Tamandua tetradactyla: one gene and its partners. The protein of the gene in region 4 interacts with the protein of the main gene of each other region in a biochemical or structural test. Links are inferred from orthologs where the notes say so. Each region holds a gene or a part of one and is shown on either strand. Other genes may lie near its edges.

Region 1 (7,630 bases), about 79 Mb from region 4:
TGCCTCAGTTTCCCCATTCCAAGACTCACCAGCTTCCTCCTCACAATTTGACCTTCAGAGATCCTGGGCAACCACAGGAAAGGAGAATCCTGGTTTCGGTTGGGGGCCCTTCCTGGTGGCCTCGGGGAGCCCTGTGGAGAGAGACGTGACTGCCCTCCCCAGCTGCCCTGTACCAGCTGAGAAGTGTCTGGACGTGGAGCTCTCTCCAAGCCAGTATGTCCTCTTCTGTTTATATAGCAGAAACCAGAGCCGGCCTCTGGGGATGGGGGGGAGCCAACGCGGGGCCCTCTTGGCTAGGGCCTAACTTTGGCCCAGGTCAGCAAGAACTCAAAATAGTCAGCTGACGGGAGCCCCGGTGTGAGCGTGACCCTGGGCCCATGCCCAGGCCTGGCAGACAGGTGCCCACGTCACAAGACCAGCGGCTCAAACACTCCCAGGGCCCCTGCGAGCAGCCCCTTGGGGTGGCCTTGGCAGAGTATCCAGCACGGGAGTTCCATCCAATCACCACCATCACCCAGACAACAGGGTAAACACAAGAAGTTCTGCCCACCCAGTGCTTCTGTGTAGCCGGAGGGAAAGCCAGGAGCTTGGGAATCCAGGTCAGGCCTGGGGGCAGAGGTGGGGGCCAGCGGAGGGAAAGTGCCTGGCCACTGCTGTCATCCTCCCTCACGTGCTCCCCAAGGCCACATCTCTGGCTGACCAGAGACACCTGCCTCTCCCACTGACCGTAATTCCTCTCTCCGCCCTGGCCTGAGGTGGCTGGTGCAGAACCTGCTGCCAGCCAGAGGCCAGGTGCACACCCAGCCCAGCCCCTGGAACAGGAGACCCTGCCTCCCCGCTTCCACCTAGGCTCAGACCGGACACCCTGTCTTCCTCCCTCTGCACATTGAACACCAAGTTCACACGAAGCAACAGTGTTTGGAGGGGTTGGGGGAGGAGATATTGAGCCAGCTCCTGCTTCATCTGGAGGGCTCTCAGTCCTGAGGGCTCTGTTGCTCAGTGATGCTCTTCAGTACAGGGGAAGGAGGAAAGGGACCACAAGGACCCTGTCCAGAGTCCCTGTCCCTGTGCCAGGTTGAATTCCCAGCTCCCTCAGGTGGCCGTCAAGACTCAGTTCCTTTAGCCCCATCTCAGCATCTCAGATCCCCCAAGGAAACAGCAGGTGGACTGTCTCACCCTCACCCTCACCCTCACCGACAGACTAGCTTGCTCCTTCTCTGGAAGCACCCTCAGCAATAAAGATGTGTCCTCCACCATTACACCGGGCTTTCAGGCTGGCCCTGAGACCCAGGACACCTGGATTCTAGGCTGCGCTCTATACATATGCCCTGTGGGACCTTGAAAAGTCCCTTCTCCCCTCTGTAATTCAGTTTCTTCATCTGTAAGAGGAGGGGGTGAGCAAGAGAGCCAAGGATTCCTCTAGCCATAGCCACAAGTCTGGGATTTTCCCTCTCAGGGATGTCGGATGAATAGTGGAGGGTTTGTGCCTGCCCTTTGTTAGCAGCTATGATCCCACCAAGATTCCCCCCATCCATGAGGCCACTTCCTCATACCACGGACTCTGCAGGCCCTATAGTCCTGCCATGATGGGAAGGGGGGACAGTCGGCAATCTTTCTGGGGAGGGGAATCTCAGCCTTCCCTTCATGCACTCCCTCTGGAATGAGGTCTACAACATGGAAACAGGCCAGATGCCCCCACCCCACCCCCACCTCTGCCAGCTTTGCCCTACTACACTCCCAGCCCAGACCCAAGTTCCTCAACCCCATCCCATCAGCTTCTTGGAACCAGGCAGGTGCTATGCTGGGGGCACCTGTCAGGCTCCTCCCTACCACCCGTCTGTGGCACCTGGCCCCAGAGTCCTCCCAGCCTATCCTGCTGAGAAAATCAGGCTTCCCCTTTTCTCGCCCCCATGCACTCCCACCACAGAAGAAATCAGATCTCCTGATGCTGTTTAGCACCGTGCCTGCCACCTCTGCAGGGCTTCCCCCTCCACCCCCCAAACCACATCCACCTCAGGCAGCTCCACACCCACCCCTGCCCCCCAAACCCAACTGCACAGGGGGCCCAAGGGTGTACAAATGACAACAGTAGAGCACTTACCACCCTCAGTGGACCAACAGGCCTTGGCCAACACTCAAACCATCCCTTCGGGGCCTGGCAGGCAGATTCAGGACACCAGGGAGGAGCCGGGGCTAGCCCCTGTGCATGGTGGAGGCCTACGGAAGAGTCAATGTCAGAAAGGAAAAACCACCCATCCAGCAGGCGCATTCCCTGGAGACAGCCCAGCCAGGAAGCACAGGAGCGGGTACAGCAGCAGGACTCAGCCACAGGGGCAGACAAGCCAGCCCGAGGTCCCCGCCTGGGCTAGTTGTCAGGGGCTGGGGGCCCACACTCTGGGAAAAGCGCTCCCGGGATATGAGGTGTGACCAGCTGCTGCTGATGGCACCTGGGGTACCTCAGAGCCATAGATCCTTGCCAGTGCGCAGCCCCTCAGCCTCTTACCCCACTCCTGAGTGAGGGTGCCTCAATCTAGCTCCCAGCCCCGTGGCATGCACAAAAGGGCCTTCTGTAGGCAGAGAAAATGGTGACAGTGTGACGACAGAACAGGACACATCCCTCTCTCCTTCAGGGGCTTTAGCTTGGCCCCCAAAGCCTCAGGGCCTCCAAAGGGCACAGCTCCATGCCCCTGTCTCCTGGCAGCCCAGCCTTCTAACCTCTGTGATGGACTCCAGTCCCCAATGGGAAGGCCTAACTGAGAGCAGAGTGGTTAAGAGCACAGATGCTGGATCCCTGACTGCCTGGGTTGAAATCCCAGCTCCATCTCCTGTAACCTTGGACAAGTTATATAACCACGCTGTGTCTAGGTTCCTCGTGTGTCAAAATGACAATCAGAGAACTGTCGTCAGTCCTAAAGTGAGTTAATATGTGTAAAAGAGTGAGAACAGTACTGAGTACACATATGTGCTATATAAATATTAGCTTCGTGATTAGTATAAATTAAATAAGGACACACAAAAGCTACACCACCAGACCCAGGCTCCCACTGCCAGCCACTCCTGGACACCTGGCCTCTCCATCACGCTTGATGCCAACTGTGTGTCCCACCCCCACCTTCTGCTCACCAGCCAACCCCACAGGCGCCCTACCTCCCTTCCCCTCTTCCCAACCTCATTTAGCCCTCTCCTCTTCCAGATGGGGCCCAGAGTGAGAGCAGGGTAGGCCCAGGATTGGCCCTCACTGTTATCAAGTTGCCTTTCAAGCCAAGATGAAGTTTGTGACAAGGGAAGTAGGTGTTTCCACGATGGGAAGAAGAGGGAGCAAGGCTGAGGGACCCAGAGGGCAGAGGGCAAGCAATGGGCTTCCACCCCCTCCCTACCTCTGCTCCAGGGTCCACAGGCTAAGGGGGACTCCTCTGGCCCGCAGTGCCCATACTTTTCCCCTCACCCTCCATGTCCCTGTGGATGCAGTGGGGAGCAGGGAGTAAAGGCCACCAGAGAAGAGGGAGCAGAGGGCAGTCTAGAACATCTAGAGGGCTTCCAATCCAAACTGAAATCGAAATCACATTTCAGACCTGCCCCAGCCCATGGGCTGCCCTTCCTTCCCAGAATGACAATATCATTCTTCCCCATCCCAATCAGGCCTAGGGGTTCCCCAAACCTTCCCTTTCCTCCCTGCCTGCCTGCAGCTGGAGGAGAAGGGAGCAGGTCGGGGACAGCCAGACCCAACCTGAGAGCTCAGGTCTCCATCATGTGTATCTGAGAACAGTGCCTAGAAAGTGATTCAAAACCTCTTAGCACGACCACCTGATACCATCTCCTGCCACAGATCAAAATTTCCTTCCCAACAGTCATTCCACAAGCATTTATTGAGAACCTACTGTGAACCAGGCAGGGTGCCATGAACAGTAGGAAATCTAAGAAGATCAAATTACCTCTACCCTAGGGGGGACAGGCATAGAATAAACCAAGATCAGTTATAATCAATACTGTACAGAGGGTAGACTGAAAACTGGAGGAGGAGAAAGCGATGCCCCCAAAATGGGATGAGAGTCCCCTCATCACCTTATCTCCTCTCCACTCACTGTGCTCTAGTCACATGGGCTTTTTTTCCTACCTCAGGACCTTTGCACAAGCTCTTCCCTCTGCCAAGAAAACCACTGTTCCAATGTCTGCATGACTGGCTCCATCAGGTTCCTATTCCCATTTCACTATATTAAGAAGCCTTACCTCCTACCCTATTAATCATTTTTATTTTTCCCATAGGACTAATGTTTATTTGTTCACTTATTTATCCTCTGTCTCCTGAACTAGAAGGTAAATAAGAACCTGTCTGTCTCAATCACCACGGAGTCTTTGGTCTCTAAAGGAGAGCTCAGGATGGATAGGTGCTCAGTCAATAGCAGTGTAAATGGGGGCAGGAGCCACAAACACCTGTACTGGAGCCAGGCTGGGAGGACAGTTGGCCAGCCATCTGCAAAGTGGTGGGGAAGTCATTCCCACTAAGAAACCTCCTGTGCACAGCTCACAAAGCTGTCCTTTCCACTTTGGGGCAGATCGGAGGGTTCTTCCCTCTGCTGGGTCACAGCCCCAATTCCAAAGCCCCCAGCCCCAAATCCCAGTTTTGCCCCCTGCATGGGCCCAGCCAGAACCTCCTTCATTTTCTTCCTATCAAGAACTTATTTGAGTCTTTTCTTATCTAAACTCCAACTCCCACTCACAACAGGGTAGACCTTCTGCAGCCCTGGTGGACTTCTGGACACGATCTCTGCATTGGTCAATGTCCCCACCTAGAAATGACAATACTATTATTATGAACAATTATAACAGCAGCTGATATTGTCAAATACCATGTGCTAGAAACAATGCTAAGCACTTTACATGCATTTTTTTCATTTCAGTCTCACAATGTTGAGGAATGGATTATCATTATACACATTTTATCGATGAGGAAACTAAGGCACAGAAATGTTAAGCAACTTGCCTGACGTCACATAGCTAGGAACTGGCAAAGCTGGGATTAGAACCCAGGGAGCCCGACAGAGGATGCCAGGGCCAGGTACTGCCCGGCCACCACCACCACCAGTGTACCCAGTAGAGGCTTCAGTTTGATAGTGCCCACCCACGGAACTGGTAGGAACTCGGGCCCTGCGGTGCTGAACAGTTGAGCCAGGCCTCCCATCAGGCCTGCACTCCTGAGCTGATTTTCTGAACTCCTGCCCAGGCCCAAATATTTAGCATCAGTCACATTCATCTTGTTAATTCTGGCCCATTTTCATGCGGTAATTCAGAATCTTGATTTTATCCTACTGTACACTCGTCATTCCTCTCAGCTCTGGGTCATACAAAAGTTGGCTGGCTTCCTAAGACCTCTTACCCCAAGTCACTGATCTAAATATTCACTTGTAGTGGGTCTAGGACCAAGCCTGTGGCCACCCTGTTCAGGTTGATTTCAGTCTCCTAATCCATCAGCATCCTTAGCTTATAACTGATCTGAATCTACCCACCTCTGCCCAGTCTGCATTTTCCCAACATGCCCATAATACCAGCCCCCAAACCCAGATTAACACTCCACTGTAAACGGGACGTGCCTCTTCTGCAACATTTCTCTCTGCCCACCAAGCCACCTATTAAAAACGGAGGCGTAACGGGGATTTGAAGTCAAGGACCGGTGCCTTTGCCTCAACACACTGCAACCTTTGCCTAGAAGCGCCGCTCGAACCCCCAAGTATAGGTCGGGAGGGAGGTTGCTGCAGAAAAAAGCGCTGCCCTGGGAGATGCCGGACCCGAGTCCGAATCCCAAATTCGCTCCTGACTCCATAAGACCCTCTTCAGCCTGGGTGTCCTGACTCAGTCCCACGAAGGAGCTGTCCGGGACAATTCCGGTCCCTCCCGTCTCGGCCTCCTGGCAGCCGAGCTCCCGACCTCCTGGAACCCGTTCTCCACGGCCGACGGGGAAATGGAAGGAATTTCTCCCGCCTGGCCATCTCCAGCGCCCCTCGTGAGCCAAACCCCACCCTTGGCGGGCTAGGGAGAGAAAGCCTTGGCCGTCGCACTTGAGAACTGACTCGGAGCCAGCAAGTTCCGCTGGGAATCCAGCCCCCCAGTGCAGCCCCGGTTCCCGGCTTCCAAGCAAGACTCCCAGCGTGGCCCCAAGCCCACCCCGGCGCATCCGCACAGACCTCCCGATGCTCCCTCTGCTACCACTTTATCCCTTTCCAAGCTGTCCCCCTCACCTTGCAGGGCGAGCTCCGCTCGCCTCTCCACCCCCGCTTTCCGGGGTCGCGCACCAGCTTGCCGGGAGCTGCTCTGCACTGCAGGGGCGCCCATCCCGGGAGGCCGGGGGTCGCGCGCACCACGCTGGGGCCCCCACCAGTTCCGCTGCCGCCGCTTGGCGCTCCTACAACCGCGCCGCAGCCTCTCGGCGCCCCCCGCCCCCGGGAAGCCCCCCGCCCAGCAGTTCCGGCCGCCGCCGCGCTCCCCGCCCCCGCAGCCGGCGGCCGCCCGCGCCGCAGTCCCAGCCTCGGCGCGCCTTCCCCCCGGCGGGCGGGCGGGCGGGGACCGTGACGCGCGCCCATTGACGTCTCCGGAATCCCGGCGGCGGCGGCCGACGCAGCCTCATCAATGGGGCTAAAAATAGAGGCGCCCGGAATAGCCGCGAGCGCCCCGCCCCGCGGCACCCCCCACCCCAACACACACACATTGCACACGCTGTTACATAACCCGGCTCGCTGCGGCCGGGGGGCGGGGTAGGGGAGGCTGTTTTTCAAGTGAGGGTTCTGAGGCCTTGCTAACATCTCCCGAGGCAGCTGAACCCCGAGCCGAGCCGGGGTATAAATAAAGTTACCCAAATAAACTTACCTGGGGCGTCCCCTGAGGAAGAAGTGGAAAAAATGAGTCCCAGAGAAGCTCCGCGGCGGCCCAAAGTCACACAGCAAATTGACTGGCTTGAGAGGATAGAACCTCAACCTCTGAGCCCTGGGCACACCCACCAATGTCTCTTAGCCTGCCTGTCACCCCAAGAGCAAAGAACCCAGCTAGCAGGGCACCCAGCTCCCAGGCAAGAAGGTAGCTAAAGAAAAAGGGGACTTCCTGGGAAGGCGAAATTTCCCCTTAACAGAAGTAGTCCCAGATGTGGGAACGCTAGTAAGGGCAAGGCCTAGGAGGTGAAGTCACTGATCTGGCTTCTCCTACTGTCTGTAAGTAGAGCAAGTCCCTTAACTTCTCTGAGCCTCACTCAGTCTCCTTACCCATGAAATGGGGATGATAATATTATCCACCTTTTCTGGTTACTGGGAGGATTGAACAACTGCAGAGATAGATGCTTTTTACATGGTAAGTACTCAGGGTTAGCTACTCCCTCCTTGCTGTCCCCTTGGCATCTGACTTCCCACAAAGCACAGGAGTGTTCAGTGCAGGAAATGCACAGAGTACCCTGACAAAAGGGCTGGGAAGCCCACCTCCACTGACCATAGTCTCCAGGCACAGTCACTTCCAATAAGAACCTTTCTCAGGGTGGAGGTGCTTGGAAGGTTTCTCTCTCCCACCTGACTGGAGCACTTTTTGGAAATGGGAGAGCTGTCTCATCCTGTGCAAAGCCTTTCCTCCCATCGGGGGCCTGCTCAGGAATGGC
Region 2 (5,245 bases), on a different chromosome or scaffold from region 4:
AAGAATTTTGGGGATGCCCCAACTTTGCTGGTGCCAGGTACTCTCCTAAATGTTTTACATTTGTGAGTCCTTTTAATTCTTACAACAATCCTACGAGGTAGCTAGCATTATTACTCTCACTTTACCAATGAAGAAGTAGAGCCCCTTAGAGGGTAGGTAACTTGCCCATGATTATGTAGCTGGTAAAGAAACCCAAAGAGTCAGGCTTCAGAGTTGGACTCTCAGCCGTAAAGCCAGTCTGCACTCTAATCCAGCACTGGGCCTGCTCAAATTCCAAGCACTGAACCGGGCTCTTTTCATTTATCCTCATTCTAACAATAACTTTATTGTGTTAGGATATACTATTTTATTTAATTGGTGAGTTTCTATGTTCCATCATTGACTACTACAGTCTCCTGTTTATAGTAAGCACTTGAAGAGTGATTTTTTAAAAATTTATTAATTAAAAAAATAAGAAACAAAATAAAACAACATACATAATCAGTAATTCACAATATCATCACTTAGTTGCATATTCATCATTTCTTAGAACATTTGCATTAATTCAGAAAAAGAAATAAAAAGACAATAGAAAAAGAAATAAAAGGAACACAGGAAAGAAAAAAAAAAGATTATACCTACCATACCCCTTACCCCTTGCTTTCATTGATCACTAGCATTTCAAACTAAATTTATTTTAGCATTTGTTCCCCCTATTATTTACTTTTATTCCATATGTTCTACTCCTTTGTTGACAAGGTAGATAAAAGGAGCATCAGACACAAGGTTTTCACAATCACACAGTCACATTGTGACAGCTGTATCATTATTCAATCATCTTCAAGAAACATGGCTACTGGAACACAGCTCTACATTTTCAGGCAGTTCCCTCCAGCCTCTCCATTACATCTTGAACAGCAAGATGATATCTACTTGATGCATAAGAATAACCTCCAGGATAACCTCTCAACTCTGTTTGGAATCTCTCAGCCATTGACACTTTGTCTCATTTCCCTCTTCCCCCTTTCGGTTGAGAAGGTTTTCTCAATCCCTTGATGCTAAGTCTCAGCTCATTCTAGGGTTTTTCTCAATCCCTTGATGCTGAGTCTCAGCTCATTCCAGGATCTCTGTCCCACGTTGCCAGGAAGGTCCACACCCCTGGGAGTCATGTCCCACGTAGGCAGGGGGAGGCTGGTGAGACTGCTCGTTTTGTTGTCTGGAGAGAGGGGCCACATTTGAGCAACAAAAGAGGCTCTCTTGGGGGTGACTCTTAGGCCTAAATTTTAAGTAAACTTGACCTATCCTTTGCGGGGTTAAGTTTCATATGAACCAACCCCAAGACTGGGGGCTCTGCCTATAGCTTTGGTTGTCCACACTGCTTGTGAGAATATCAAGAATTCAACTTGGGGAAGTTGAATTTCTCCCAGTTCTCACCACTCCCTGAAGGGGGCTTTGCAGATACTTTTCCACTCACTGATCGAATCACTCTGGGATTCATCGGGGCATCACTCTGGACAAACCAGCAAAATCTCATGTCCTACCTGAGATTCCAAGTACTTGCAGCGTTCAATCAAACTATCTACATAAGTTATATTAGGAAATGCTCTAATCAAAATATAAATTTTGTAACAAACATTCTTTGCTTTAGTCTCACACAGAAGGTGACATTTAAAAATAATAATTACCATCTATTTTCAGCACCCTGCAATAATGACATTCCTTTGTTCTTCCTCATGCAAAAACATTTTTAAAATTTGTACATTGTACATTTCACTATTATTATACACTCTAGGCATTCCTAGATTATACCATCTCAATTGAAGAGTGATTTTTTTTTCCCCTGCAGGGGTCATCCCCTTTATTTATTTATTCATTTATTTATATATTTTTTACATGGGCAGGCACCAGGAATTGAACCTGGGCCCTCTGGCATGGCAGGCAAGCATTCTTGCCTGCTGAGCCACCGTGGCCCTGAAGAGTGATTTTTGACTAAAGAAAGATATTTTTGAAAAGAAGACACTATTTCTCTGAAAGTATGGTTTCATTCATTCATGCCATAAACGTTTAATCATCCTAGTAAGAGCCAGGTAGAAGGGTCTGGGTTTGGTTCTCAGCCTTGCAGGTCTGAAAAGTTGATTATATCAGCATATCTAGAGGTGGGTGACTTATTGGGGATGGATATTTTTGAATAACCCAGAATGCAAGCTGATTATCTTCCAATGACAGATAAATCTTTTCATAGGTGGCTTGCCCATTCTGAATATCATATTTTCATCTTGAAATAAAATAACCAGAAAATTTTCAATTGAGTAGAGAATCTGAGCTAAGAGAGTTGGACAGTCTTCAGAAATATTTTATCTAGGCTTTGAGAAAAGGCTTTCCCAGCCAAGGACCTGCTTTAGCAGCCCAAACCTTTGCACCTACCAAACATGGACTCTTCATATTGGAGAGACTGACAAATTCTTACTGTAACTGTTCTTTCTTAAGATTCTAAGGACATACACCTTTAGACTAATACATTCATCTTTTGAAAGGATATAATACAACCTATTGGGTTAAAACGACTTTCAGTTCAAGTCTACTGTTGAGGAAGCACCCGCATATTTGTTTGGCCAAACCTACACCAGCATTTTTACGGTAATTGACCTCTACAGATAGCTAATACTAACTGATTTAACTCCCAGAGCTCAACAGATTTCCTCCATTTCCTGGAGGCACCTCACCTCTCTCCGTGCTGGTCTCAACCATCTGTACACCCATACACCCAGTGCTGACAGATGGCACGCACTCAGTAAGTGCCAGCTGAATAAGGGTGAGGATGAAAGAGAGAACGTCAGAAAAGGACTCAGGAACTAGAGCTTAGGTCTGTAATTTTCTCCATAGCATTCTGCCTCCTGCAAAGGGTGCAAATGGAGTGGCAGAGGTAGAACTCCTAGAGACAGGAAGCGGGGAAGGAAGAAACTGAGGAGCCTCCAGGGAACACTGCTACGGAAGGTGGAAGACCGTGGTAAAACGTCAGAGCCTGCAGACAACACCTGTCAGGGGCTGCTGCTGAAGTCCGGGTGAGAGACGGTGGGAAGGCGTGGGAGGAAAGAAAGCTCGAGATGTGAAGGAAGTAACTGAATCGATATGCTGTTGAGATGACGGAAGAGCAGCTAAGATTCTGACTTAGGCACCTGGAAGGCAGCAGGCCCAGTTCAGGGAAAGAGGGCGAAGCCAGGAGGGCGTGGTGGGTTCGGACAAATTGTCATCTGGGTGGGCCACGCTCGAGGTCCTTGTGGGGTCACACGGGAAGCAGGTCGGTATAGGGTCTTAGCTTCTGAAACAAATTTGGATGTTAGCTGAGAGCACAGAAGAGGGAAAGGTTTCTTAGGGAACGTGAAGAAAACGAGGAGGGGGCTCCGGCGCGAGCCCGGCTGGACAGCGGCGTTTGGCGACCGGCTGGGGACGAGAAGCAGGACAAGGGAAATCGAAGACCGAGGAGGAAAAACGGAAGGGCGACATTTTGAAAGCTGAGGGAGCAAGTTTCCAGACGGTGTCGATGCCTCCTGGAGGTCAAGAAGAAGACAGAAATATTCCAGCCGCCTGAGGCCGGCCCGGGCGGGGGAAGCCACGCGTCAGCGGCTGAACCCGAGGGAAAGGAGGCCGCCGGGCCGAGCCCGAGGGCGGGGCGGGAGGCGGCGCAGGGGCGGAGGGCTGCACGGCGCCGGGCCTTACAGCGCACGGTGGGGGGGCGCCCCTCTGCTCGCTGGCCGCTGCATCCCTTCTGGATCCTTCTTAAGACTTCCCTGCTTAAACCGGAGAAAAACTACGAATTGTCACTCACGACAAAAGGACAGCACCTTGTTTAAAAGCCTCCTTATTTAAAAATCCTAGCATGCAAATAAGGAGCCTTCATGTGGCTTCCAGCCATTGGTAGGCGCTGGCTAGGCCCGTCCCTTGCGCGCGGTGCGGGGCGCCCACGGCTGTCGCCCGCTCGCCATTGGCGGCGGACGCGGCTGCGCGCTCAGCCAATCAATCAGGGCCCCCGCCCCGCTCCGCTCCCGACCTGCGCTTATAAATCACAGCAAATGGGTTCCCTGCTCCATCCCTGCCCTTGAAATAGAAACAGCCACTGTGCTTTTAGCTGCAATGTCGGGCCGCGGGAAGCAGGGGGGCAAGGCCCGCGCCAAGGCCAAGTCGCGCTCGTCCCGCGCCGGCCTGCAGTTCCCGGTGGGCCGAGTGCACCGCCTGCTTCGCAAAGGCAACTACGCGGAGCGGGTGGGGGCGGGCGCGCCGGTGTACATGGCGGCGGTGCTCGAGTACCTGACGGCCGAGATCCTGGAGCTGGCGGGCAACGCGGCCCGCGACAACAAGAAGACGCGCATCATCCCGCGCCACCTGCAGCTCGCCGTGAGGAATGATGAGGAGCTCAACAAGCTGCTCGGCGGCGTCACTATCGCGCAGGGCGGCGTCCTGCCCAACATCCAGGCCGTCTTGTTGCCTAAGAAAACGGAGAGTCACAAGCCGGGCAAGAGTAAGTAACCACGAGATGTGACGCCGCCACCGCCCCCCACCCAAAGGCTCTTTTCAGAGCCAACTAAACAGCAAAAGAAGGGCTGATGACAGGTAGCGCTAGCTCTTTCCTCTGAAAAGTTGGGTGGCTCTAAAAAGAGCCTTTGGTGGTCTTTGGCGTTATCGACAGATTATTTGCTTTTAGCCTTGTGACTTTCGGTTTTCTTTGGTAAGAGAACAGCCTGGATGTTGGGCAGGACGCCGCCCTGCGCGATGGTAACTTTGCCCAACAGTTTGTTGAGCTCCTCGTCGTTGCGGATAGCCAGCTGCAGGTGGCGAGGAATGATGCGCGTCTTCTTGTTGTCGCGGGCCGCGTTGCCCGCCAGCTCCAGGATCTCGGCCGTCAGGTATTCGAGCACCGCCGCCATGTACACCGGCGCGCCCGCCCCCACCCGCTCCGCGTAGTTGCCTTTGCGAAGCAGGCGGTGCACTCGGCCCACCGGGAACTGCAGGCCGGCGCGGGACGAGCGCGACTTGGCCTTGGCGCGGGCCTTGCCTCCCTGCTTCCCGCGGCCCGACATGGCAGATCAAAACTAAACACACAAACACACCAAGAGACAGAAAATTGGTGGTAGCAACGCGGCAAAAAGAAAGCCTTTATAAGCCTTCCTAGGGGTGGGGTCAGGAGCGAGACTCTCATTGGTCCTAAGTTGGCTCCAGAAACAGCCAATAAGGTCCAGAGTAGGCGCTGTTACGTAGGCATTGATGATAA
Region 3 (7,483 bases), on a different chromosome or scaffold from region 4:
AAAAACTTTTATCAAGACCAAAATCAGTAGTAATACTACAAAGGGGAGAGGGTGAGGGTCTGGGAAGGAAACAGCCAGCCAGGATAGTCTGGAAAATTTCTAAAAGCCAACGTGCCTGTGCACTGCAAAGTATAATTTCTTGATTATAAGGGCCAACACTTTGCTCAAGCCAAGAGACTCACGTCCGGCTGGAATCTCCCTGCCTTTTAAAGGCCCAACAGAACTGCACATTCAAGCCCTGATACCATCCAACAAGCAAAAAGGCTTCTGGGCAAACAAGTGGGCGCCAGCTTGCTCTCCCTTCCCTGTGGTCTCAGGGGATGGAGGAGATAAGACTGCCCGTATCCCAAGGGAGACCAGGGGATTTGTCCACTTGGCCTACGGGGCTTGGCAGCGACCCTCTCCCATCCTGAGCATCTGCCCTCCTACCTGTATGGGTACGCAGGTGTGCCTTGAGATGAGAGCTCTTTGTGTAGGTTTTCCCGCAGCCCGCATAATCACAAGTGTGAGTGGCGGTCCTTTTCCGGGGCCACGACCTTCTCCCCCTCTTTGGCTTGGGCTCCTCCGGCATACAGGAACCCGGTGGCATGAGCTCTAGGGGTGAAGAGGGTGGGGTCAGCAACACCCCAAGCGCCCAGAAGGGCCGGTGCACGCAGCGCTCCCCAGCCCGAACCATGAATCCCAGGCACTGACCTTGGTAATGGAGCGGTGGGACCTGTGGCTGCAACTGCTCGGGCAGGAAAGGTGGGTAGTTGGGCCCGGGGTGAGGATGGAAGCCCGGGGGGAGAGGCAGGGCGGGGTGACAGTCCCTGCTACTTAGCAGTTCCTCAGCACCCAGGGTCGGGGTAGTCCTGCTGGGGAGCTGCCGCCCCAAAGGGAATTCGTGCGGGGGCGGCCGGTGGCCGTTGCTCAGCGGGGGTCCAGTGCCCAAGTGGGCCTCCAGGGGCCGGCCGACGGTGCACGAGGAGACGGCCTCCTGCTTGATCTTGGGGCACATGCGCGGCGGGCCGCCGCTGTAGGGCGCCACCACCACCGGGTGGCTGCCGTCGGGGCTGCCTTTGCCGACGCTGATGACCGGGCTGCCGTACTCGCTGCCAGGGGGGTTCAGGGACGCCTTCAACACGAACTTGCCGAGTAGGCCGCCCCCTGCCGGCTGCTGTTGTGGCGGAATGTACACTGGATCCAATTCGGGCCGCAGGAGCTCCGCCACGAAGCCACCCGAGGGGCTCACGTCGTTGATGTCCGCCAGGTTGAAGGGTGCTGTGGGAGCGGGCGCCGACTCTCGGCCATAGAGAAGACCGCCCCCCGAGCCGCCCGGCGCCACGCCAGGATCCCCCCCGGCCCGTAGAGGGTAGCTGAAGCTGCAGGTGGAAGGTGCGCTGGCCGGGCCGCTGCTCGACGGGGAGGACGAGGATGAGGCTGAGGCTGACGCCGACGAGGACACGGTGGCGGCCACCGACTCCTGATGGGACAGCGAGTTGGAGAGGATAAAGTCCAGGTCCAGAAGATCGTTGAACTCCTCCGTCTCTCTCCGGGATAGGAGCGCCGGGTTGCTGCCGCCACAAGCCGCGCCGGTTCCGCCGCTTTCCAGTTCGGCGGCCACTGTCGCAGCCGCCAGGTCGTAGGGGCGGCCGGGTAGCACCGGGGGAAGTCGCTTCATGTGCGAGAGCTCCTCGCGCCAGCGCTGCGGAGATACGGAGGGAGAGAGCCCAGTCAGTGGCGATCCCTAGGCGCCACTCGACAAACTGGCCCGCCGCGCCTACACGGTCCAGACACCAGGGCAGCGCTCAGGGATTTCGGGCGCCAAAACTCCAATCTCCCACACCCGGATCCGAGAAGAGGTGGGTGCATCGGTGTCGGGGGTATTTGCTTGTGTCCTTGAGAGTGATTGTGGGGGGGCGGGGCGGGCTAACTAAGTTCCGGTCCTCTCCTGTGCGCGAAGCCGGGGACGCTCCCGCCACCCCCGGAATTGGACACCAGGCTCTCCCAGTGCGCCGCCTCGCCGCTGGGACGCCTACGCGCCAAGCTCACTCGGGACTAGCCGGTGTCTGGAGACTCAGCGCCCTCCCGCCTCGCCCCGCGCGCGCGAAGGGGAACGTGTGCCGACCCGGTGTGCGTCGCCGGCGGCCGCCCAGCGCCCGGACCACCCGCAGTCAAAACTGAGCCAAGAGCGCATAGGCCGTCCCGGACGGCTGCGGAGCCCGCGCAGCGGCCACCCCTAGCCCTCTCCTTGGTGACCCCAGGGCTCTGCCTGCCTCCCCACCATTCTCACACACAAGCTCCCACGACGCTCCCGGAGGTCCCGGGAGACACTCACGTTATTCGGGGCACCTGCCGGACGCAGTGTCTTCTCCCTTCCCGCCGGGCCGGACGCGAACGTGGAGAAGGACGGGAGCAGCGCGTCGCTGACAGCCATGTCAGACTCGCCAGGTGGCTGCCTGCGGGCCGGGAGGGGTGCGCCCGGAGGGCAAGAGCAGGGGGTTTGTCTCGGCCGCCGTCGCGGCGCGTCCCCTAGGCTATTAGCCCTCGCCCCACCCCACCCCCAGCGCCCTGAGCCTCCCCGCACCTACCTCATTAATGTAGGAGCCCAGAAGATCCTCGAGAGCTCGAAGCAGCGGGGCACCCGAACCCCAAAGTCAACGAAAGGGAAAAAAAAAATTTAGGAAGCCGAAACCCCAAATCCCCAGTTGCCCGCAATCCTTCTTCTTTGGATTAAATAAATTTGAGATGTCTTTTTTTAAGACTTCCTTTGAATACAAAAGTTCTTAGAAAAGTTGTAAACTCTTATAAAAAATAGACAATCGGTAAGGCGAGTAAAGTAGGTCCCGTGGCCCGGCTGCGCTCTCCTCGACTCAGTGACGTCCTCCGCCGCTGTCGCTGCGGCTGTCACCGTGGGCGCAGGGGCTGTGGCCGGGGCGGCGGCGGCGGGCGGGCGGTGCCACCAGGTGAGATTGGACGCGGTGGCGCGTAGCTGCGGGCTGGGCGGCGAAGTCCGGGTAGCTGTGCGGGGCGCGCGCGGCCATGGGCGCGGGCCTTGGGCGGGTGAGTGGGTGGGGGGCCGGAGGGGGGGCGGGGAGGGGCACTCGGCGGCTCCCGGTGCCGCCGCCCGCCTCCTCCTCTGCTCCCCGCGCGCCCGCAGCCGAGCTCGCTCTCTTGGGCCGGGGAAGTGCCGGCGGCCGCAGCGCGCTCCTTACTTATAACTTCTCCGCTCCCGCCCTCCCCCCCGCCTCCTGCCGGCTGCGCGCCCCGGCCCGCCGCCAGGCCCCGCCCCTCCCTTTCTTCTCCCCTCCCTCCCGCGGCCCCTCCGGCGTTGTCATGGCAGCTAAATAAACAAACTCGGGCGCACGTGGGGGCGGGGGGAGGGAGGGGCGCGGGCGGGGCCGGGCCGGGCCGGGCAGTGACGCCAGCCCGGCAGCTGGCGGGCAGGAGCCGCGCTGACGCCGGCGGTGGCGGCGGCGGCGGCGGCCCGGGCGCGGGACGCTGGTTACAGTCCCACATGTCCCGGGGCCGCGCGATCAGGGCCGTCGTCGCCCCCGCGGCTGACTCCCTGGGTTCAAAGCCCCTGGCAGGAAAGGCTGGGTCGTCGGGGTTCGGTAGCGAGCCCGGTACCCTTCGTCCACTGCACCGTCTACGCTCTGGAGAAGGACGCGATTATCCGCGTGACTCATCCGGCCCCTCCTCCCGGCCGCCAGCCGGGGCCCGGTTCTCCCAGCGCAGCGCCGGAATGGGCACTGGGTCTGCCTCGCACGGGTCCTCACCGGGCCTTCAGCCGCGAGCCCTGAAAGGGAGGGGGAGGGTGCCCAGAGCTGCGTGGCTGAGACCGGGAACCCGAAACGGCCAGTGGGGCGTTCCGCGCCTGGAAAGGACCGAAAGACATCGCAACGGGAAACGGAGATGTCGTTTTGACATTTTGAGATTTGAAGGAGCGAGGAAGGAGTGGAAGGGGTCGAGATTTACTTGGTAGGGGCAAAGAGGAGCCTGTAGGCCGAGGAGGCAGCTTTCAGCCAAGGATCTCAAAGCACTCTACACGCTCAGCATTCTCCTTTCCGCTTTATGGATGAGAAAACTGAGTCATAAAGAGGTGAAATGGCGAGGTAAAGGTCAAATGGCCACGCTCTCCCTTCACCTGAGACTCTGGACAGGTCGAGCCCGCCCAAGTTTGGCTGGAAAGTGGTCGGTGGTAGGAAATGGCGCGACGTGGTGGGACCCGGGTTCCCGAGAAGGGCTCGCCGAGCTCGCGGCAACTTGTCCCTGCACACGGGGAGGAGAAAAGGAAAGGGCGACCGTTATTCCAGTCTTACTTACAACGTCGCCTTCCACCCCCTACACACACACACACATACACACACCACCCCTTTCTCAGTTTGTGATCAGTAATTTTCCAGCCGGGAAATGTTTTCGTCCTCGTCTTCTCTGCAAACAGTACTTTTTTTTTTTTTTTTTTTTTACGTGAGTGTGGTGTTGGGTATCGCTTGCTAAACGTAGGCTAGCGAGGTGTTTGGTTTACATTCAGGCGCCCGGAGCGGGGCTCCGCCCTCTCCACCGAGCCCCCTCGCGCGTAAAAGCGGCCGCTCCCCGCCCAGTGTCAGCCAGGGAAAGAAAAGGAAGGAGGGGGCTTGTGGCAAGACTCGGAGCCCCAGCATCCGGCAGTGGGCGCGCGCCCCTGCGCTCCTTGAGCCCTTGCTGCCTCGAACTTTTTGTCGTTGTCACCTGTTTTGAGTCCTGCGCTTCTGGTACCTTTGCGGATTCCTCCGAATACTTCCTGCCGCTGCGTTTTCGCTCCTCGTCGCCTACAGACGCATTCTTGGAATGCATCTCGCCCCCAAAGAAGTGACTCGGCCAGGGTCCCCTCTAGGTCCCGGAAGTTGGGGGCCCACGAAGATGACTTTGGCCCAAGGCTGAGAAGACCCGCAGCTGGGGGGAGGGGGACATGCTTTGGCGGGGATCCCGGGGCCCCAAGGCCTCAATTCCACCCGAGAGGGTCAAAGCTATTACTTTAACTCTTCGGAAATTTCAGCAGTTTAAAAAAGAGGGTACAAAAAAAAAAAGACACCTGTTGCCCCCTTCTGCCGTCACCCTGAAGGGTGACGGCAAGAAAACTTGGGATGCTAGGACTGGAGGGTTGTGTGGCATAGTTTTCCACTTTTCCATCAAGGCCAAGTTCCCTAAACCTGATGGAATTGAACGCACCCTTGACTGGCAGTCAGGACGCTCCATCCCGAGGTAAACTGGGATTTCCACCTTAGGTAGCCAGCACACCGAGATTTTTTTCTGTTTTGCCCTTATTTATCTAAGGCAGTATCCCTTCCCCCTCAAAAAACCAGTACCAAGCACCACATGAAAATATTACACAGATGGATTGCAAAGCCACTCTTCTTATTGTATAATCAAGGCAAGATTCTGAAACTCAAAAAAGATGAACTTGTAGTTTCCCAACAGCTTTCTGGAGGATAAAAGCCAGTGCCTCTTCATGCAGACAACTATCTGCTTATTCCTCTGATTGCATCATAAAGGGAAATCTCTGTATTTGCCCCAGATTTCTGAAAGAGCTAGGGAACTTGAAGCTCACAAATCATCTCCTTTCAAGGCAGGTGCCTAGGGTGACATGAGAGCTATGACCCTCCTCTGGGGCCTTCAGAACAGGTAGGTCCAGAAGAGTTAAATCCCTGCCCTATATAATTTATAAGCATGAGGCTGAGTAAACCTTTGATGACTAAATTGCACTCTAAAATAATAATAGAAGACACCCTTTAAAGAAGAATTAAATACTTACTGGTGACTTTATTTTAGCAAACTGATATTACAAGTTTTGTGGTATGGAAGTTAATTATTAATGTCCTTGGAGTTATAAAATAGATTTTTCTTTTTTCAGCACAAACTGCATGAGTTGGCAGAAGATGTGATGTAAACCATCAGTGCTGAGGAGTTCAAGTGGAGCCATGGAGGGGAGTGATGATTGAAGAAGCTGAAGAAATATTTCAAGTGGACATCTCAACGAGAAGAACTAGGAATCCACTCCCCGCCCCCCCACCTCCTCCACCCCCACCCCCACCCCCCAGGACCTGCCTGCGCCCTGGCCTGGGATGTGTGTGCCTAACTGTGCCAAAACTGCTTTTCAAGAAGGTGAAAGCAGGACATGATTTTAAGTAGCCGAATTACTTTGAAATGAAACTCCTACTAATAACTCTGAGAGAGGCTTGTGACTTTCTTAGGTGACAAAGCTTTTCTCAGCTTCCACTCTAATCTCCTTGTAAACTACGGTCTCTATTTTTTTTTTTAATTGTGGTAACATATAACATAAAATTTCCTATTTTAACCATTGTCAAGCACACAGTTCAATGGTAGTAATTATGTTCACAATAATGTGTTGCCATCACCACTATCCAATCCCAAAGCTTTCTCATCACTCCAAACAGACTCTGGATCCATTAAGCAATCACTCCCCATTCCCCTCTACCCCCTGCACCAGTCCCCAGTCATCTCTAATCTACTTTCTGTCTCTCTAAAGTAGTTTATTCTAGATATTTCATATCAGTGGTAACATACAACTCTAGTTTCGTTCTATCCTCAGTCTTGTGGTTGAGTGAGACAGCCTGGGTTTTTACTTTGGCTGTGCTTCTTTCTAGCTGTGCACCTAGCTGACCTCACTTTGCCTGTTTGGTCGTCTGTAAAATGGGGATAGTAATAGTACCTATACGTCTTAGAGTGATGAGGGTTAAATGGGATCATCCACGTAAAGCGTTAAATGCAGGACTTGATGCTGAAAACATGAGAGCTGTTAATATCAGCAGTGGTCTCCAGGGCCCTGTATCACAAGGACGGGGCTGTTGCTGTGTTCACTACTATATCCCCAGGTCCTAGAAGAGTACCTGCCTTGCAATCTGAAAACGCTCGAAAGTGTTTGTTGAATGAATAAATGACATACTTTTTCTTTTTAAAGTCTATTAGCACAAACCTGGTCTTTCCTTTCACCTCCCAATTGAAGACTCAAATAATTCTCTTTTCAAGGCGTCTTCTCTTCCAATCCCTGACCTTGCCCAGTTCTCGACAGGTCCCAAACTGAACACCTTCCCTATCCTCCCTCCACCCAGACTTATTGCAATTTTTCCTACGTTATTTCATCACCCTTTCCCACCTTCCCATGCTAAAAGCCTTGGTTTTCCTCCTCTCCTCTCACTTTCTGACCAGGGGCATCCTGGCACCCACAGAGTTTGGCCGTTTTGGTATTTAAATATCTTTTCTATTACCCAGGTGTGATGCTTTGATTCAAGCCCTCCTCATTCATAGTTTTTAACTGTTGCTGCAGCCTCCAAACTGTCCTCCACATCTCCCTCCTCCATGTCTCATCCCTGAAATCCCTGCTCTGGTCCATTTTGCTCACCAACCACCACTCAACTTCCTGCCAATCTTTCAGTGGCTCCCCTTTGCCCAGGGGAGCAAGATCTAACACCTCAGCCTGATGTACCAAACTCTCTTTCTCGTC
Region 4 (7,380 bases):
TCAGTACCACACGAAGAGCCTGGAAATTTAGAAACCGAGAACACTAATTTGTTTTATAACCCTCTAGCATATCAGCCCAAATGGATTCCAGTTTTCTTTCCTATAAAATTGGCTAACTCAACACACTAGATAGATACATTTACACTAGGAAAAGTGTAAGCCTTAATCACAAAAAAGTTTCTGGGGAACAACTTTCTTTCAGTTTATGAAAAATCCAAGTGACAACTTAAAAGTCAAAATGTAAAAGTTTGAAATTTAACTCAAAAGGTGAAAAAGGTTTATTAAAACTTGTCTATAAATTTTTATTACACATTGCTTGATGTAAAAATAAATATATCAAAATGTAATGGTGCCCAACTTGAATTAAGTTCACAGAGGAATAATATTTTAATACCCACCTCTCACTGAACAAAAAACTCAGACTGGATAGGATTAAAAATTGTACTCAAAATAATTCCTGAAGTATAATTATCACAATGGGTGGGTGGGGAGTTAATTATTTCTAGTAAAACAGTTTTTGTATATTAGACAGGAGAGAGATTACCAAGATGAGTTCAACATCACCAACTACACAGTTTAGATATAAAGGATGCACTAGTGCATCTGAAAAAAAGTATCTGGAACAACAGAACATATCCTACCTTTCAGGTCTTGCATTACTCCAAGACTCAGTTGTTCAAACAAGGACTGATCAAAGTAAAGGACATTAAAAAGTTTCCTCTACAATATTCCAAGTCACAAGCTAACTCAAAAGTAAAATCTACCACCACATTAGAAAAAACTAAAAAACAAAGTCACTCGGAGAGACAGCGCAAAACCCTACTGGCAAAAGTATGTCTAAAGGTAACTAAAAATTCTTCTGAATGACACTTTAGTAAACAAAAAAAGACAACTAAAAATATATCTGAAGACCACAGAAACTTCAAGGAATGAAGACAGACCAAAGTTCAGGCACAGGCAATGTTAACAAGCCTTAGGCTTGTTACACGGAGGAACTGCATAATTATTCTTAATTTTTGCAGATTATCTTAAACTGCAAGACGATACATCTTTCTTACAAGTGCAAAGAAATTCAAAAGATTTCCCACATCCTCACATTTTAACCCTTTGAAATGAAGCCCCCTAAGAGAAACATGTTCTAGAAGTTCTCTACAAACTCAAAGGGTACATTTAACTCCATTATACACTCTCACTGGCAGATGGGGGATGACGTTGAGCCTGTTTTCAGTGAGTAAAAGAGATGCTCGGTAGTAAGGGGGAACATCTTGAAGACTGTCAGATGGCCAGCCATTCTTCCTCTTCATTATCCTGCATCTCAAACTACAACAGTTACTTAGGAGGTCGGTGGCCATCAGGATAGCACCATTAAACTAACTGTAAGAAGGGAAAGAAAGGAAAGATGTAAGAAGTCTCCCTACATTTCTCCTGACAAAAGGGCCAGTCCACAACTGAGTCAAGTAAAGAAATTTGTAGAGCTTTTTAACTGAAAATCCAAACATTTAAAGCACAAAAACGAAAAACAAAACAGAACAAAAGCACAACCAAGAAACCAAACGAAAATTTTTAACTTTTGCACATCAGTTCAGTTTACTAGAGACTGGGACTCTTTCAACTTCTATCCTTAATTTCCAGGTACATAACTCCACAAAATCGCTTATTTATTTCTTCTTTCCCCCCCAACGAGAAAGTAAATACAAAGTGCAAAGAAAATGCTTCTGCCTCTCTCCCATCCTGAAAACCCAGAGTTTCAGACATTTTGGTCTCGCAGCAAAGAAATGGAAGATGTACAATGCAATGCGCTCCATATTGATTCTTAAAGCAAGTAATAAAAATAATAAAAGAACGGCAAGAAAATAATTTTGACAAACCTCACGTCAAACCTGATATCCTGGATTCACACAAACAAAACGAAAAATACAAAAATGTTAATGCTCTAACCCTCAACAGGAAATCTTGAAAAGAAAGAGTGGAAAGTAGAGGAGACGGAATGAGTGCAATCGAGGAGAAAGGATTCGCAATTCCTCGTTCACCACCACCAACAAAAAGATAAAACTAAAATCCATAAAAAGCTCTTACACACAAATGCACTAGCATTTCCAAAATAAAACTGCATGGGAGCAACAATAAAAGCTACACTTCTGAGCTCTAATTCCAGGACACACATCGATATGTCAGTGTTGCAACGAATGTACTAGGAGGCAAAGAAAATGGTTGGGCTGCTGGACGTCTTCGACCAGCTCATTCAAACACCTTTAAAAGGAATTTGAGTTAAGACATAGGCAACCAGAAAGAAGAGAAAAAGAGAAAAAAAGAAAAGCTGGCATAATAAAGATGCAAACAGCAGAAAAGACTAAGGGGAATGTGGGAGGCCGGGACTCCCCGAGACTAACCTGTGCCATCGCTGGCCGAAGCCGAGAGGGCCGGAGATGAGAGTTTAGGCCGCTTGGCTGAAGGCGGCCCCGGTTCCACCACATTCTCGGCCATTTTTAATTCTTTCGGAGATACAGGCGAGGAAAACGACATTCCTCGGGAAATCTCTTCTTCGGCCCGGGGCCCCCTCCCCACTCCCTGGGGTGGGCTTCGGGGGCTCCGCCGGCACCCGAAAGGGGGTGGGAGAAGTTCCTTTTTCTCTTCGCCGGGTCGCGGTAGCTGAAGAGGGATGCGGACTCGATAGAAAAGGTAGGGGCAAAAGCGAGGGGCCGAGCCAGAGCCCAGGCCCGGATGAGGGCACAGGAACACAAATCCGCCGAGCGCGTCCCCGCGGTAAATTCCCGAGAACTCGCGGCTCTAGAGGCGCAGTCCTCGGCCCGCCACGGCCAGCCCCTGCCCTGCCGAGGTCTCTCGGAGCTCCGCCGCCGCCGCCATCAGCCTCTTCCTCCTCTGCGCTGTCCTCCTCCTTCTCATCGCCACAAGGAGGCGGGGGCGAAAAGGGGGGAGAGGAGGAGGCGACGAGAGACTCTCACCTCCTCCCGGTGCCCCCTCCCGGGCCTGCGCCCCCACCCTCCGAGCCCTCCTCCTGCCGCCGCACTCCGCGCCGCCGCCGCCGCACCGGCCCCTAATGGCCGCACGGAGCCCGCCCGAGCCGAAAAGTCAGGCTGGCGCCGCCGCCTCACATCGCGCGGCGAGCGCCCGCGGCCCGGGGCAGCAGAGGCGCGGCGAGAACGCGGGGCACCGAGCTCGCCGGCTCCGAGGCCGAGGGGGCCGGGCCGAGCAGCGCCGCCCGCCCGCGCCGACGCCGAGCCCACCGACGAGGCCCCGCTCCGGCGGGCGGCGCAGGCGGCCTCTCCTCGCGCCGCGCTCTTCTCTTCGCCCTCCCCTCCCGCGGAAGATAAATAAATACGGCCGCCGCTACGGCTCCCACCCCCGGCGGCCAGGGGCCGGGAGCTCCCGCCCCCCGGGGCTCCGCTCGGGGCCGCCCTCGACGGCGGGTAAAGGCGCCGCGGGGCGCGGGGTTATGTAATGGTACCCCCTAGGCGTCGACGCCGGCCAGGCTCCCGGGCTCGGTGGGGGTGTGTGCGGACGGGAGAGAGCTGGGGGTCGCCTCAGCCCGTGCGCCCCAGGCCCCCTGCCTCTGTCTCGGCCCCAGGCGCCTCTCTCCAGCCCGGCTCCCCTCCGCACTCTCTTTCTCCCGCAACTCGCACTCAGCCCGGCGTCCCGCTTGCCCACTCTAGCCCGCTCCCTCTCGCCCTCTCTCCCCCCCAGCCTAACACACAAACAAGATGGCGGCTGTTGTTTCTTCCCTCTGCCGAATCCTCCTTACAGGCTAGCGGTAGCAGCGGCGGCCGGAAATGAGCCAAGGGGGGGGGTGAAAAAAAGGGGAGGGGCTGGGCCCAGGGAGGGAGGTGGCGAGGGGGCGGGGCATGGGCCCGAGCCGCTCACACAATGGGGGAACAGGGGCCGAGGGCGGGGCGGGTTCCAATCACGGGACCCGCCCAGGGCCCCAACGCGCTGGGCGCTTCCGCAAACTCCCCAGGCGTCACCCGGTGGCTCCCTTTAAAGGGGAGGATTTTAAGGGAGGGGAGGATTTTAAGGGGGAGGGAGGGTGTGGGCTTGGGATCTGTTTTCAGTCGGTGGACACTTACGGGGGAAGTTGCCTGGGTTGGGTCTGTGCGTAGGGAACCGGTGGGAAGCGAGGCTGACGGAATTCCGAGCTGCGCCGGGGAAGGCGCCAAGTCTCCGCGCAGGTTCCCGAGTGGGAGCGCTCGTGGGGATGACCCTGCATCCCCGGCCCTTAGCGGCCAGCCCTCCGAAACCCTGCTGAACCCACATCTGCCGCCGGGCATTCGGGGCCAGAGACCCAGTGCGTCCTGACCCTTCTCTAAGGCAGCGGAGTGGTTCACTTCCCTAAATCACACTAGTACCGAGTTGTTTCCATTTGTTCGGTAGTCCCAATTTTTTTGACAGGATGTATTATTTCGATAGTCAGAAAACAAAAATCACAGCAGTGGAAGGTTATTTTAGGACTAGATCCAAATACATTTCTTGCCCACCACGTGTCCACACGCCCCTTACGAGGTGGCACTCTGGCTAAGGGAGGCTTGACTTATTTTCCTAAACGCGCGTGGGACCTGAAAGCATTTTAGGGAATTTATTAAAACCCACCTCCTAGGCTGGCTTAATAAAAGACCAAATCCGACTTAGGCAGTGCCTTAAAGAAAATATAATTATAGAAAAGGAGCAAAAACGTCACGATGTGCTGAAGATAATGTAAGGACGAAAGAAAGTAAAAATGTAACGATGGGGGAAAATGGCTTCATAGGTGTAAAGAAAAGTGCAAGTGTGTGTGACTGAATGCTTATATTCGAAGGAAAGCTGCGAGAACTGTTTCACCTGCCTACCGGTTGCAGGATTCCCCTGTATTTGCCCTTGATACTGGAGGTAGCCAGGTGGTAAGAGGCCTCCCAAACACCCCCAAACCAGTACCAGTCGCCTAAAAAGCATTTCCACATCGCACATCATGCTCCTCAGTTGGGGTGTGTTTGTTGTTAGCTTTACTTTATGTTTTGTTTTTGTCTTTTTTTTCAATGAATGATGGGGAGAATAAATAGCCTAGGACAGAAAACTCAAAGGAAGCAGCTCCTGTTGCCAACAAGGGTGAACTATGTGGTGTGATCTTCAAGCACACATCACCCAAACTGCAGCGGGAAAGCAGGCCAATTGAAAAGGACAGGAGCCTCCTTGTCTTAAAAGTTGTTACAGGAAGGATTCAAGGTGTAAGGCTAAGGTCGAGATTGGCCTTCCAGAATGATTGGGTTATTCTACATGGTTTATGCCCACATTAATAGCGGAGAGGAGACAGGAAAGAAATGTGAACACTTAAGAAACCTGGGCTGTGATTTCCTTATGGAAGGTTTCCGTGCCTTTTTTTTTTTTGAAGAATTTCTAACCTTAGGAAAGCAATTTGCCTAGTTTGCAGAGGATCCAGCTTGATGTATGTATAAGCAGCATTCAAACACACTCGGCCCTCCTGGCCAGTCATGGGATTCGATACCATAAACCCATTGAAGGAGATCTGAGGAATATCCAGAGAGAAAATTCTGCAAAAAGAAGGGGTCAGGGGCGATGGACCTGCCCAGAAGGGAATGTTCTGTTGTAAACGGGGTCTTCAGGTGCAGGATGCCTCTTCCTGGGATTTGCTTCTCTGACCCTTGCCCCAGGACCAAGCTGAAGTGGTTGAGGAAATAAGGATCACACAAATGCAATCAAGGGTAGACTTGATGGTTTCAACAAAGCAGAATTAAACCATCAGCTTGGATTATTTGTAATCTAATCTAATTAAAATCCAAACAATCGTGGAGTCCCATGAGTGGATTAAGAATGGCTTCAGGATTAACCTTGGGTTAGTGGAAGAAGCAGGGAAGTTTAGAGCCTACACAGCCAGAGATCTTTGGAGATGAAGAAGGAAAACGCCCCCGAGGGAGCTTCATGAAACAAAAAGCCTGGAGAGAAATTTTACAGACATCACCATGTTTGCCACATGCCTTTCCAGTTGAGAGAGAAACCGTGAACTTCGTTGGCCTTTCTTGAGTGAAGGTAGTCTCTTGTTGCCTTAATTTGGACATATTTATAGACTTGGTTTAATTGGGACATTTTCATAGCCTTAGAACTGTAAACTAGCAACTTATTAAATTCCCCTTTTTAAAAAGCCAAGAAAAAAAAAAGAAGAAGAAGAATGGCTTCAGGAAGGAATTGTCTTCCCTGTAACTAACCCAAAAAGTTCAAATGAATCCAGTAGCTGGGGGACACACGAGACAGCAGCAGCTGGCAGGTAAGAGCAGGGGCACAGAAGTCGAATGGGACCTGGGCAGGCTCATCATCTGTAAAATGAGTTTCATGATTAGACCTACTTTATTGTTGTGAAGAGTAAACACAGTCATTTAGAAATAATGCTGATCACAAGGTCTGGCACAAAGTAAGCACGCAATACGTTAGGTGTTACTAGTCATTCAATCTAAAATGGAAAGGATCGTACCTAACCCAAAGAGTTACTAGGAGAATTAAAATGAGGTGAATACATGTGAGATGTTTGTGCATGGAACCTGGCAGATGCTTATTGGGCTGTCATACTTGGCCTCTCACCAATCAGGATATTGAAATTTCTCCTGGGTCCATCCAACTCCCTTTAAGAAATTCTCTGTTCACCGTTCAACCTTCTGTTGACTCATCCAGCTTCCACGGTGCCCTGATTACCAGAGAGGAGACCTGGATAGGGGGCACAAGAATTGCAGTGGAAAGAAGCTGCCCTCGTGGTCTCAGGTCACTTCTGCAAACGTGAATGCAAACAGGATTGTTGAAGTGGCTACACATACACCACAAGGAAATACTGATTTATTTTGATCTATACCAAAATGTTGTTGGTGTTTGCAGAACCATAGTTACATTTTTATTTATATCTTACGTTTACTAAAATGTGTCCTTGAAGAAAAAATTTTAATAGCCAATATTGGCAAAATAAAATTGGTGCTTTCATACATGGTATGAATAAAACATGATACCAACTTCTAAGTTCATACCAAAATTGATAGCCTTTAAAAACCCCAGAATCTCTAGGATACATCCGAACAGTGCACAGAGAGGTACATGAGAATGTTCCCTACAGCACTGGGATAGCTTTCCTCCTCAAGGCACACAGACACACACACAAAAAGAAAACAAACCAAGAGTTCACCTGTAGGAAATGGTTAAAAGAACTTTGGAGTAGCCTTGATTCTGGAAGACTATTGTTTAAAAACAGAACTTTTACAATGTGACTGTGAGCTTGTAGAAACCTTGTGGCTGATGCTCCTTTTTATCCAGGGTATGGACAGATGAGTAAAAAAAATATGGATAAAAAATAAATAATGGGGGCTAAAATAAATTGGGTAGATGGAAATACTAGCG

Evidence for each region.
Region 1: the proteins of EP300 (region 4) and NR4A1 form a complex in vitro, tested with the Homo sapiens proteins (2 studies listed by BioGRID, with this or other methods). The link is inferred for Tamandua tetradactyla from reciprocal best matches to the Homo sapiens genes EP300 and NR4A1.
Region 2: of the proteins of EP300 (region 4) and histone H2A type 2-B, one has a biochemical effect on the other in vitro, tested with the Homo sapiens proteins (2 studies listed by BioGRID). The link is inferred for Tamandua tetradactyla from reciprocal best matches to the Homo sapiens genes EP300 and H2AC21.
Region 3: the proteins of EP300 (region 4) and KLF4 form a complex in vitro, tested with the Homo sapiens proteins (2 studies listed by BioGRID). The link is inferred for Tamandua tetradactyla from reciprocal best matches to the Homo sapiens genes EP300 and KLF4.

Annotation. Positions count from the first base shown.
Region 1 is NC_135333.1:113,415,426-113,423,055, reverse strand, and holds the start of NR4A1 (nuclear receptor subfamily 4immunitygroup A member 1), read right to left. Parts: upstream 3,020-7,630; 5' UTR 2,102-3,019; intron 484-2,101; exon of another isoform or gene 132-483; 5' UTR 30-131; intron 1-29. UniProt on the Homo sapiens protein: Orphan nuclear receptor. Binds the NGFI-B response element (NBRE) 5'-AAAGGTCA-3'. Binds 9-cis-retinoic acid outside of its ligand-binding (NR LBD) domain.
Region 2 is NC_135330.1:5,943,785-5,949,029, forward strand, and holds histone H2A type 2-B, read left to right. Parts: upstream 1-4,079; 5' UTR 4,080-4,110; coding exon 4,111-4,503; 3' UTR 4,504-4,664; downstream 4,665-5,245. Other genes in the region: H2AC20 (histone H2A type 2-C), read right to left, coding at 4,665-5,054. UniProt on the Homo sapiens protein: Core component of nucleosome. Nucleosomes wrap and compact DNA into chromatin, limiting DNA accessibility to the cellular machineries which require DNA as a template.
Region 3 is NC_135328.1:26,489,060-26,496,542, forward strand, and holds the start of KLF4 (Krueppel-like factor 4), read right to left. Parts: upstream 3,008-7,483; 5' UTR 2,576-3,007; coding exon 2,571-2,575; intron 2,439-2,570; coding exon 2,318-2,438; intron 1,685-2,317; coding exon 430-1,684; intron 1-429. UniProt on the Homo sapiens protein: Transcription factor; can act both as activator and as repressor. Binds the 5'-CACCC-3' core sequence. Binds to the promoter region of its own gene and can activate its own transcription.
Region 4 is NC_135333.1:34,212,044-34,219,423, reverse strand, and holds the start of EP300 (histone acetyltransferase p300), read right to left. Parts: upstream 3,023-7,380; 5' UTR 2,524-3,022; coding exon 2,391-2,523; intron 1-2,390. UniProt on the Homo sapiens protein: Functions as a histone acetyltransferase and regulates transcription via chromatin remodeling. Acetylates all four core histones in nucleosomes. Histone acetylation gives an epigenetic tag for transcriptional activation.